Saccharomyces cerevisiae S288C: one gene and its partners. The gene in region 2 interacts genetically with the main gene of each other region. Each region holds a gene or a part of one and is shown on either strand. Other genes may lie near its edges. The genes, in order: CLC1, FRK1 and SOK2.

Region 1 (3,270 bases), on a different chromosome or scaffold from region 2:
ATTGGCCCATATCTTCATCAAATTTGAAGCATGTAATGGACAGACTAAATGAAATACATGAAGTTACAATTGATGATAATTATGCAAATATAAACGAAAAGATAATAAATTCATATTTCACCAAGGGTTTTTTTCCAAGTCTAAAATGGACTATATTAAGGCAGTGTATCGAATATTTATTCGTCACGAAAAGGCGCAGATTAATGGGCAACAAATTGCGGTGCATCGTGATGCTTCTTACATTCACCTTCGTGGATCCAACAAGTAAAATGAAAATCAGCCCATTTTTCGCAAAATTCTTTGCGAAGTCCTTGGTTAATGTTTACTTGAAAAAGTATTGGCATTGCAACTTTGGGAAATATATACTATTCTTTTTGTTTCAGCTTAGTATTATGTGATGTGTTTTTTTAGAAGAGAAGAGTTTACAAGTTTGTAAATAATCTATATTATAGTTGTCTTGATAAATGAATTTACAGTATGAATTAGTTATTTACTGAACCTATCAAGTATGATACTCATGTATGACGGGAATGATAGGGAATAAGCCCCTTCTCTTCCTTAGTTCATTATGGTTCTTATTATTCATCATCATTTAAGCACCGGGAGCCTTCGCGTTACCTTTCAATCTCAAAAGAATTTCTTTAAGCTTAGACCTGTCTCTACCCCCAATGATATCGGCATCATCTTGGTTAATTAATTGAAGTGCACGATCCCAGGTCGTATTGTCTTGACCAAAAAATTCATCTCTTTTCTTTAAGAAAGCCTCAGCTTCCTTAGCAGCATCTTCCAATTGTTGTTCCTTCTTTTTATTGTAAGAATCGTAAAAATCGTCAATATGTTTGATAGCTTCATCCTGCAATTCCTTTTTTAACTCCTCGTCCTTTAAATCCTTTTCGTGAATCTCTACAGCACGACGTTGTTTCCATTGGTCTACAACTTCAGAACGATCCTCTTTAACGGATTCTGTACTCTGATTGGCACCTTCGAATGTGGAAAAATCATCATCTGCCTCGCCATTGTCATTACCACTAGATACAGTAGCACTACCATTTTGATCGCTCGAGACTGCGCCATTTGCGGAGTTGATATCTGGAAATTGCTCTTCAAAATCCCTAATTTCGTCATCATCTTTGGCGGGGGAAGCCTCCGTTTCCAATATGTCATCCTGTTCAGTCTTGAACTCGTCTCCAAGTATCTCTGCTTCTCTTTTTAAAAAATCGGTGTCGTCATCTTTTTTGTCGTTGGGTGTGAAATCAATGTTTTGATCTTCCAAAGGAGGGAATTTCTCTGACATTATATATATATGTATCTAGTGAAACGGCGGCGTCCTTCAACTGCTCTTTTGGGTGACTCGCAACGCCTAAGTAAAGCTGTAAAACCCTTTTTCTAGCACGTATATTTTCAGTTTAGTTGTTTAATCTTCTAGGTGCCCCTTTCAGTGTAAAAAAATATGGAAGTGTTTCTATCGTGTAATGTGATGATAATAACTTTTTTATAGAAATGTTACAGATTAGTATGTAGTCTATGTTAATAAAATGTATACTTGTTCCGCTTACTGGATTAACACAGATGCGCCATTTCCAACTTCTATAAGTTCATTTGTATTTAAATCCAATACCTTAAGTCCGGAGAGAGTGCCATAATATCCGGACATAATACCAATAAATCGTAAATCCGCGAAGTATGTTTCTCTCGGAGGTACAACTGGAATTTTGTAATCGTTGGATAATAGTATAATCCCCTCCGCAATTTTTCTATATTTATTATGCAGTTGGTACTGATTTTCCAGTGTCAAGGGCGAATTGGGGATAGTCCCATTATTCATGCCACAGTTGTTTATACCATTGCTGTTACGTACGTTATTAGCTGAAGGGATTGGGTTTATTGTATTGTTATAATACACAACAAGATCCAGGGGGGATGATGACGAGTTAATGATCTGAAGCCTCATAGTAAACTTTTCGCCCTTAATAACTTTTATATTGCTATTAATAAACTTGAATTTTACATTGCTTAATTTGCTATTCACCAATGATGTAGTCGAAGCAGCTCCAAGACTAAATCTTGAGGAGGAAACCCCACCTAATCTTAGATTGGCCAAACCACCAGAATTAACGTTGTTGGCCGCACCATTAAAAGAAGCGCTATGATTGGTATTATTGTTGTTACTCGAGTATTGAGAAGATGTCGAGGAAATTGGCATAGAACGCTTCAATGTGACTTCTGTTTCCCATGATGTTCTCACAGGTAACTTCAGATTGGGATGCAGCTCGAGTTCGTACGCTAAGGTGATTTTCACACGATGTGGTTGAGTTGATTTGGGTAACAGAACCAGTTTAAAAGTAGCGCTAATGCTATCGTATGAAAATGCAGTGAGTGGCACTTTCAAAGGACAGATTGGATCTAGTTCAATTTGAGAGGTTCCGTCGATTAGTTTATACGATATTTCTTGAAAGTTCAGTTTGAGAAAAGAATTGTGTTCTTGCGGATAAATAAATTTTTTGGTCAGTTGTTCGGATGCTTTAGAAGTTTGAAAGTCTAACGATGATAATATGCAATGCTCAGATTTCAAGGAGATGTTTCTCAATCTCATATTCAAAAGTGAGAATATTGGGTATTGGAGCTTAAGAGTAAATGTATTCGGATTTCTAGAAACGTCCGCTTCGTGGACTTCGCTATTTTTAGAACTAACTCGATGAGTCGCCCTGTTATTTTTCTCCAGATGATTATTAGTATTTTTGGATGATTTGGTGGCTGCAGAAGACCAGGAATAAACTGGCTCAAAACTTGGCAAAATCTCCTCGCTAGAGTACTTATCTAATGTATACTTTGCCTGTGGATCTTGTAATGAATCCTGGTTATTGAAATTTGCATCCACAGATTTATATTCAAAGACAAATTTGATCTGATTATTATAACCATTATTCATAACAACATTTGATTTGAAAAGAATCTTCGAACAGCAGTCGTTTTTCAACCTCCATAGATTTTCATTGTTCTCAACTTGGGTAAAATAATCATCGATAGTGCTTGTTCTGGTAACTTGCGCTTCATTTATTAATATTATCATATTCTGTAGTACAAATCTCTTGTTCTCTTGCGAATTACCTTGAAACCACAGCCAAAGATTCAGTTGCTCATCAAATATAATAAATTTACGGCTTAAGTGTGATTGACGTAACTGTTCTATATTACTTCCATCTAAGTCGCAACGCAGCGGTACAAAACATTCCATGGTCAATGAGTTGTGATTTATCAATTGCGCTTAAT
Region 2 (4,953 bases):
TCTGGTGTCGTTAGAGCCACCTTCAGAAACAATTTGCCAGCCAAGACCTTCGGTGCTTCTGTTAGAATCTTCTTGTACCCATCCAACATCTAAATTTGTTGATTGTATAAGTACTCTATTAAACATCGTTATTTTCTCTTTTATTACTATTAATATTATTATATTTTGAGAATAGAAAAGACTAATATATATATAGTATAATTTTTAAAATTAATTCCGTACAAAAGGCAAAAGAAATTGTCTTCTTACTTAAAATGTCTGCGAATCTCGCTGTAAGCGCAGTGAAACAATGTTCCCGCTTAGAAGACGTGATTCAAGCGGAGTGAAGCTATGATTGATAATAAGTAACAATTTAGAAAAATTTTTGATGTTTTTAGTAATGCAAAATATATATGGTAGGTATATGCATATATATGCTCAATGTTTATTAGATTGAAATTTCATAAAGTATATTATAACATTATTTTGTTGGTCTGGCAAATCGCAAAATTTTAGCGACAGACATTTTAAATGGAAAAATTGCAGATAGTACTGATTTTTTCATATGATAAGTGGATATTATTGTCAAATGAGATAGGTATTATCTCTAGATTTTCATACTTCTTCTTTTGAAAAACCCTAATACTCTTTTTGCGGTTGAATGTTCTGGACTTTGGGCTGCTTTATTGTCTACGCTTGCCTTGTTGACCTCAGATACCATTATGGAGGACCTGTTGCTTCGGACCGCTTTTTTAGTTTCTAAAGTACATTTATTTTGCACCATCGTTGGTGCAGGCAGGTCTTTTGAGACTTGATGGGATGTTTGCATATTTGAAGCAGTGATATAATGATTCTTTGAATTTGTTTGATAACTGTCATCCTTTTTTGGGCGTCTTTGGGAAGGTGGAGAAGGTTTCCGTTTGGAATCCATTGATGAGTATAAACTAGATTTGGAAGTATCATAAGAGTACAAGGAAAGAAAGCTAAATCTTTTCTTTGTTGACTCTGCTTCGTTAAGTGATCTTTCTAGATGGTTATTGACGTGTTTTTGTGCTGTAGCTTTCGCGATGTTGCTACTTTTACTACCCTTTTCACTTGTGTCCTCCGTTTTCGCCTTATCAATTGATTCTTGTCCTTCATGTTGTTGAAGAGGAGATTCTGGTGGCCTCAATTCATCAGACTCTTCGGTGACCGTATCGCATGAGATGTCACTGAATATGCCGCTATATCTCAAACTTTTGCGCTTCTGTTTGTATTTTTCATCATAGATTCTCGTTACTACATCAGCGTCCCTCTTATACTTGATCAAGTCACCAGATACGCTTTGCAAATCAACAGAGGGTTTTGCTACTGAAAATTGGCCGTGCGTAATTAACTTTGGAGAGCTTTCGATGGAAGAGGATGAGGTTATGCATGTATCTAGGGCAAGGTATGGTGTGGAATCAAATGGGGATGTGTCTCTTTGATTCAGCGTTTGTGATGAAGCGCTACTTTTAGCTTTTTCGTTGATCTCATATATGGAGAGCGTATTTGAATTGTAGGGAGGTGTTGTGTATGAGCCAGGATGGTATGAAGTTGGCCGTGGCTTTGTATGGGATGAGGAAGACGTACGGTAGAAATTTTTAGCAGATTGGAGACTATTTTGGGTCTTATTTTTATTGTATTGATGATTTTGTGATGAAGCCATGTTATTTGGTTGAATCTTGCTTGTTTGCATTGTGGTAGACGACTCTTCTTCTAAACTTGGTACAATACTACTCCCAGAAATTGTATTTCTTTTAATAGGTGTGGTTTCGATTATAATATCGCCTGGACTTATGGCTGGTGGAGGTGAAAGACTGGCAGTCATGTTTCCCGTAGTTTGTCTAATGTTTTGTACTGGGGATAATGATTGTTCATGACTTAACACATATTCCCTATCTGCGTTCACCACTGCCTGCAAGGCAACGGATGCAGCAGAGTTACTTCTATTGTGCCTATTAGATCTTCTTATAGGTGACAGCCGCTGGTCAGATGCAATAGAAGCCGGTCTGGTTATAATATGATTTTGTGATTCTTGAGGCGGAGCCGGGAAAGTAATTAAAGTTGAATCAATGACCAGTGAATCCCTTTTATCACTCCTTGAGCCAAGAGATGAGGTAGAACAACTGGATTGTGGTCTAGATCCATATCTTCTTCTTGGTTTTGCTAATCTGAACACGGATTGAGTATTGTTTAGTTTGTCCCACTCATCAGGTGTTATGGATAAGAATGAAGAATGAGGCTTTAGCCATTCATGTTTCTTGATCTGTTTCAGGTTTATTCTTTTCTTTGGGTCTGAGACCAGCATGCGTCTTAATAAGTCCCGAGGTATAGGAAGAATATAATCAGGGAACTTTAATGGTGTGGAGTTAATATAATTATAAAGTCTTCCTATATCGCTGCCTTCAGGATTATTTGGATCATCATCCCACGGTAAATATCCAGCTAGTATAGCGTAAAGTATAACTCCACATGACCATATATCTGCTTTTCTAGCTTCGTATGGTTCGGCGCTTATCACTAGTTCAGGCGCTGCGTAGCATGGAGAGCCACATGACGTCTTCATTAATTCGTTTCGTGAGCAAAACTCATTGACAAACCCAAAATCTGTAATAACTAGGTTCTCATTCTTGTCTAGTAATAGATTTTCCAATTTGAGATCTCTGTGAACAAGTCCCTTAGAATGTATGTAATGTACTCCACTTATTAGCTGAGAAAATAACCTGCATGCATTCATTTCCTTAAGCCTCCTTTTTTTTTGAATATATTTATAGAATTCTCCCCCGCATGCGTACTCTAGGACAATACCAATGTACCTAGAATTTTGCAACACTTCTTCTAATTTTACGATATTCGGATGTGATAAGTGTTTTAAGGCGTTGATTTCTCTGTATATTTTAACTTCTTTCCTGTAATCATTCGATATGCTATCACGTTTGATAAGTTTAATTGCTACTTGTTTTGGGAAGTCAAAAGTTGAATTAGAGCTGTTTGAAAAATTCTTTGGCCAGCCTAGCTTCACTTTTCCGAACTCTCCTTCTCCTAACGTCGACCCTAGGATATAAGGACCAAACGTTACATGTTTCCGCCTTTGCTCATCTGTTCTTTGAGGGTACTGAAATGTGTCAGACAAATCGTTGGTAAACCCTCCGTAGTATGTATGACGTTTATTGGTGTACGACATTAAATTTTTGGCACTCTAAATCAGTATATAGAAGTAATGGCCAATTGAATATTGAACGCCGCTTGGCTCGCCTTTCTTGTATTGTGGATGGGTAAAAAAAATAGCGATTATTGTTAGGTTTAATTAGCAATCAAAAAATTCTCGCAAACACGTCACAAGAAACAAATTAATGCAAAATGTGGCACAGTCAAAAAACTGCGAAAATGTGTTAAAGATGAAAAGAACCGTGATCAGCAACAGCAGTGTACCAGATTTTGTGATCTGATTTATTATAGATTTACTCGATGACCTGAACTTGAATTATATTTAAATCGATGAAGGGGTTGAAACAGGTGTTGATCTGGGTTTCAGAATTTTTCTCTTGTTTACCTTTTTTGCTGTTCTACACTCATTCTTTCGATTGTTTTCAATTGCTTTTTTAGGAAGTGCGGCTTTGTTTACATAAAAGGTGTGCGGCATTTTAATGCAATATGAAATTTAAAAGTATATGTAACGATAGCACTATTATTTAGGGTTCCTGAAATGATATACTTTATGGATAGACATTATCTGTTCATTGAGTATACAGTAGGGGCTAAACCTTCTTTTAAGGGAGTAAAAAAGATGGATATGCATTACGTCGGCCACATGACATTAATTGTGCAGGTTCAGCTGATGTATAGGCTGAAGAGGCTACGCTTGCTAATTTATAATGCCATTTACTAACCTAAGGAGAATAGAATCTCCCATAGAGTGAGTATGTTGTGATTAAAGAGATATGGTTTCATCTTTACTCGAGTCCATTTTCTTTATTTTTTTAATGGTAAGAGGATGAGTATAGCAAAAACGGTCAAGAGACAGCAGTAAGTGTCGTCGTAACTAGAACAAATAGGCCTTATAACAGAAATCATAAGGGTTGTCCCGTGGTCGGAGCCCTTGTCGGAACTAAAGAAAATCAGGCAATATAGAGGATATTTTCTACGTACAAAACGCTTATTGTATTTATAGCTCCAGTTACTGAAGTGGTAACTTAAGTAAGCAATAAGTATGTTAAAACCCTTTTATTTTTCTGAGTCGAGCAGATTTTTGTTCGACCGTTGTATATAGGATAATATGACGCCATATGATTTTTTCCTCTTTGGTAGGGAGGGAAGAAATTTTCCCCGCGCGGCTGAGTACAAAAGCGCCTAGTACTCACTTGAGTCATAATTTAGCACATCATAGCGTGCCTGCCAGAAAGACTTGGATGCGCATTTCTATTTGATGTAAGTAAGGAAATAGGAGAACTTTCATAGCCCATGGCTAGTTCGGTTTTCAGTAAACTATATACGTATATGTTAAGAATATTTCGGAGTGTCTAGATAATAAAAGAACATCGTTAAACTTATGAATGGTGAAGGAGGAGAAGTCTCGTTAAAGAATTCCTGTTGTAGAAAAAGTCAGTTCTGGTTACGAGAGGAAAATGTTGGAAGTTTATATCCCATCCTTTTCCTTTTCCCAGCATTTCTTTACAAACCGTTCCATGTTGACTTTTTTTTTCATTTGCCCTACAATCCAGGGATGCTTTAACATTTGCCTGGGAGAAGGCCTCTCTCTGGCATCTTTTTTTAAACAATAGTCGATAAAAGATCTAAATGTCTTGCTCCAGGATATGTCTAGTTCTGGCTCATCTTTCAACTGGGGAGAAAACGTCAGGATCATCGTCAATAATTCTATAGGAGCCACGTTTTGCGTTATTTTGTCAGATTCAAATGGAAATCTCCCTCCAGCAACCTCCAGAAGAGTTAATC
Region 3 (4,689 bases), on a different chromosome or scaffold from region 2:
GTATATAAACCAATCAGTCCCTTTGCCTGAAGACAATAAGGACGATCTTTTACAACCGATTCGATAAAAAATCTTTTCAAAACCGAAACATGAGCTCTCTTCAATAGCGATATAAACACCGGCAGCATATAGACGCAGGTTTGGGCTATGTTTTGTCAGCAGCGATAAAAGGTACGAGACTTCGCAGACTTAAACGAGGGAAACCTTCTCGAGAACTATGGTAACAAATATTACCCGCCCCGGAAATTGCGGAACAAATACACTGTCTCTTTACGAGTTTCTCGTTTAAAAAATCCAGGGGTGTGGGGTGTGGGCGCCCATATGCGCGAACGAGCAGCTGCTTGTGATGTTTTCCGGGGAACCTCCCACGTTCACAACCGCGCCGCGGAAATAACGAAGTTTTTACGTGTAAAGAGATTACGTCAAAGGAAAGAAGTGTTCAATGTGTCTATCTTATAGGCGTGATAGATGTCATTTATAACATGAGTCCACCTCATGCATAACGTATGTACATATATGTGGGCGGTAGGGTTTTGATTAAAGTAACATAATTATCCAAGGAATTCATAGTTGTTCTATTTTTCTTGTTTTTTTGTATCATCAGCAGCAATTTCTTCGTTGGAGACATCGCCAGCTCCATCAACTTGTGATTTGGATGACTCTGACTCCTTGACAGGTTCTGCTTCACTAGGTTCGTTCGGTTGTGTTGCTTCATCGCTTGTACTTGTTTTTATTTTGTCAGTATCCGTCGAAGTCAATGCGGAGATTGGTAATTGACTAGATCGTGGCTCCTTTAATGTTTGATTATCTGGTACAGTATTCCCACTGTCTGCTTCCTTAGACCATTTGGAATGTGATGCCGATTCAGATTCCACTCTTGGAAGGGTGATTCCTGTATGGATACTTCCCACATTTGATTCAGATGATTGATTTGTGTTTGTTGTAGTTGGAGAAGGTGTCAAAGGCTTTGAATCTGCAGGTGTAATGCCTAATGTACTTGCCGAATTCATTGTGGCGTTGCGTGGATACGATAAGGGTGAAGCTATGTTGCCCATCAGTTGTTGTTTCATCGGCATTGTTGCCGAAAGGGTCTGTAGGTTAGTTATAGTATGTCCTTCTAGTTGGTTAGAGTTAGGCATTGTGCATTTTTTCAAGGGCTTTTCACCCGCAGCGATTGTACTTACAGCTGGTATAGAATTATTGGGTATAATTTTGTTGTTCAAATTCATTGAGGAGTATGTCAGCTGAGCAGCAGATATATTTGAAGGACCATTAGGATTTTGATAGTTGTTAATAGGTTGATAATAGGTACGCGGACTGATGGATTTAATACCAGTGCTACTGCTACTACTACTGCTATCATTGCTTGGATTATTTTGTTTCAATACGCTCTGAATATCCCTGATGAACAAGGGATAAAGATAGTCAGCAATTTTTTCTCTTTGTGCTATTGCTAGGGCACGCTCAAACGGTATCCAGACACCCTTCAAATGCATGGAACCAATCTTCACCACATGCCTGATTTTTTCCGCTTTTAGAATACCATCTCTTCTACCTCTTGTCATCTTAGTTACATTCAGAAGTTTGGTACCATTAACCATATCATTATCTGCTCTTCTTACCACTGAAATACCGTTAGCTTCTACCTGATAACATAGCGTTTTTTCATCCTCCCACATTGTTGTTGTTACTCTTGGCCTTATTATACTTGCCGAAGTGCCGCTGGTGTTACTGCCTGTGGCATTGGTAGTGGCGATTAAGGGCATCGGGTGCCTTATGGTAGTTGTTTGGAAAGAATTCATGGTTTTAGCCATTGAGTCATACTGTTGATCTGACACTCCGTGCCTATTTGCAGTTAAATAAGTTTCTTGATCAGTAGAGGGTTTAACTGGTGGAGTTATAGAATTTCCATCATACAACGGGCTCACCTGTTGTTGTTGCTGAGGCGGTAGCAAACCCACTTGCGGAAGATTGTAGCTTAAAGGTCCATTTTGGCTGGTTGGACCTTGAGTTGGCGTTGTTAATGATCTTGGAGGAATTGGAGAATGCGAGTTTGGAATTGACGAAGTCTTGTGAAAACCGGGGTATTGGTAGGTGGAAGGTTGTGGATAGTTTGACATTGGAGGCTGCTGAGCTAAGGACGAGATACTATTACTATTGCGACTAGTGCGATTAGAATTGGGAGACATAGAGCCACTGGACGAATCAGAAGGTGGTCCAGATTTACTGAACTTTGAAAATGCATTACCTATCTTTGGTGGTTGGGCCGGATACGTTTGAGCTTGTAATTGTTGTTGCTGCTGGTGTTGTTGCTGTTGTTCAAAGGTTGAGTAGGTTTTTTCCAAATTGGGGTTTTGGACTTGATTACTGGTTACAGATGGTGTTGCACCGTTAGTGGTTCCATCGCCGTTTGCAGGATAATAATAATACGCTTGTGGATACGAATATGCCATTGATTGTTGGGCTTGCATTTGGGGAAAATAATAGTAGTATGGTACATTGTTACTGATATTAGTACTGTTATTGCTTTTTTTGGTGGTGATTGCAGAACCATTCGGTAACGCAGTTGCAGTAGCGTTGGAAGGAACACCTACAGACGTGGAAGGTGGATTGGAAGCATTTGAGTCAGAACCGCTACTCTGAAAGGATTCTTGAACTTGATACATCTGAGGCTGGGATTGCAGTTGCTGTTGAGACTGGGATTGCGGCTGCTGATAATATTGCGGGTACGGCCACTGTTCAGGAACTACGTATTGGTAGGATACGGGCATCAGAGGTTGAACGCTCTGGCCGAGATATTGTTGTTGTTGCTGCTGCTGTTGGGTGGACTGGCCAATAGTACTTTCGCTATTGCTCACGGCACTCATATTTGATTCCTGGCGCATGCGGTTGGACTTGATATCATTCGTATTGATTGGGTTACCGATGGGCATGACAAAAGGACCTTACCAGGGTTATATAAGGATGATTTTGTACTGTGCTTAACAAATCCACTTTCAATTTCTGAAAACAAAGATCAAAAAGGTTTTTTTTTTTTATACAATTGTGAAGTATGTTTAATGAAAACAGCACAAAATGATATCTCTCTGCTTGCAATATAAAAAGCTATGGAAAAGGATTATCAACTATACTAGAAGGCTTACACACGCACAGGCACACACAACTAATGCAAAAGATAGTGGGGAAAAACTTCAAAAACTAACAAAAAGAAGTGTTAAAGATGAACTTTTTTCTTTTGTATCGTCGGCTTGCCACATTCGATAAGTTAATAAAACACAAACGGGCAACACATCTACGTACTTTTTATGTGAAGACAAGAGAAAGAATACATCACTGATACGTGCGTCTATTGCGCAGCACTGTACTATTGCGAAGAACTGAGTGAAGGCAAAGAATGAGATGATCGATGCTTAGCCGACTGTTAAACTTACTGAGCGGTAGCCTCTACTAGTTCCTTAGTCAGATCGCACTCAACTTGGAATGTTCCGTCAGGCCCACGGAAGAAAAAGCAACAAAAGAAAGAAAAACCGGACAACATGCGGGAAAAATGCAAACTGTGTGAGGGAAAAATTAACTTTAAAGATTACATCAACGGCGGGAAAAGATCCTTCCGCAGTCCTTCTACTGCGGTTTCCCTGCAGGCACAGCTAACCGGAGGGAAGACAAGTCAAGCGGACATGCAGTTCCCGCTCAGGCTTCTTTGCAGAGAAATCGGAATATGAATTTTTTGTGTTTTTTGTTAACTTCTTTACCATTCGCATCACGGGAAGAGTGTGTTGGCATAAGAGGCGCAAGAAAAAGGTGACCCACGGTGGTGGGAAAGAGAAGAAAAAGCCGTTTGCGGAAAGCAATGTTTTGCCCATTCAGAAACAATATCTTTGCTGTATCCCTACATGTATTATGCCGCGTTGCTTGTGCAGGTACGGAGTCCCTGCACGATTTTTCAACAAGGTCTAGATTTGCTAAGACGATGAGGCGGAGCCCGAAACAAACAAGCCAAAAACCGGAATTTCGCGCTTGGTGTGCTTTCGCATCTTTTCGTGTGGTGAATGCACCTGGTGCACGCTGCGAAGGTGACGTAGCAATCCAAAAAAGGGAAGTCTAGGCGCTTTCAACCGCCCCCCACCGTGCATGCGGATTGGTTGTCACAATTCGCAGACATATTGGCAATGTTTCCTCCCCTCCTGTTGATGCGGGTAAGGGGTGTCTGTTATGCAGGAACAGGAAGGTAAAAATTAAATGGGCCTTAATTCTGTAGACACTCTCTTGGGGTAATAAGGTTAAAAGCCATTGTTGAAGTACGGAATCATCTCTTCATTTTTTCAGCGCTTGTAAGGAATTAATCCCCAGGAAGGTGCCGATGTAATGAGAGAAGTATTCTTGTTGTATCTCTTTGGTTCGGAGTATTTCCTTCTTTCTTTTCTTTGTAGTTTTTATGCAAATGCAGGGAACAGAGTACCCGGTTAAGGCTGTTAGTCAGCCGCACTCTACACAAAATTACTTGGCAAACACGTTGGTTGGGAAAAGCTTTATACTTGGCGGTGTAGTAATTGTAAAGGATCAAGATTGTGTCATGCTAATGTGCCGCTGTGTAACAACCTTTTTGAAGCGCGTATTTACCACCGGCAAAAGGCCATTGTGTCACATAAAAAAAAACTCCCGCCAAAGCCAGGTTCATTTTGCATAAGA

Evidence for each region.
Region 1: mutations in FRK1 (region 2) and CLC1 together harm fitness more than expected from each alone (negative genetic interaction), as found in Saccharomyces cerevisiae (2 studies listed by BioGRID).
Region 3: mutations in FRK1 (region 2) and SOK2 together harm fitness more than expected from each alone (negative genetic interaction), as found in Saccharomyces cerevisiae (2 studies listed by BioGRID).

The regions. Positions count from the first base shown.
Region 1 is NC_001139.9:830,480-833,749, reverse strand, and holds CLC1 (clathrin light chain CLC1), read right to left. Parts: upstream 1,295-3,270; coding exon 593-1,294; downstream 1-592. Other genes in the region: PEX35 (Pex35p), read left to right, coding at 1-398; TRS65 (Trs65p), read right to left, coding at 1,553-3,235. UniProt on the Saccharomyces cerevisiae protein: Clathrin is the major protein of the polyhedral coat of coated pits and vesicles. In yeast, it is involved in the retention of proteins in an intracellular membrane compartment, presumably the trans-Golgi. The yeast light chain is important for cell growth.
Region 2 is NC_001148.4:282,878-287,830, forward strand, and holds FRK1 (protein kinase FRK1), read right to left. Parts: upstream 3,185-4,953; coding exon 587-3,184; downstream 1-586. Other genes in the region: 60S ribosomal protein eL33 RPL33A, read left to right, coding at 1-93; putative mitogen-activated protein kinase kinase MKK2, read right to left, coding at 4,637-4,953. UniProt on the Saccharomyces cerevisiae protein: Putative serine/threonine-protein kinase that may be involved in rRNA transcription and ribosome biogenesis.
Region 3 is NC_001145.3:302,661-307,349, forward strand, and holds SOK2 (Sok2p), read right to left. Parts: upstream 2,934-4,689; coding exon 576-2,933; downstream 1-575. UniProt on the Saccharomyces cerevisiae protein: Plays a general regulatory role in the cyclic AMP-dependent protein kinase-stimulated (PKA) signal transduction pathway by regulating the expression of genes important in growth and development. May inhibit the switch from unicellular to filamentous growth.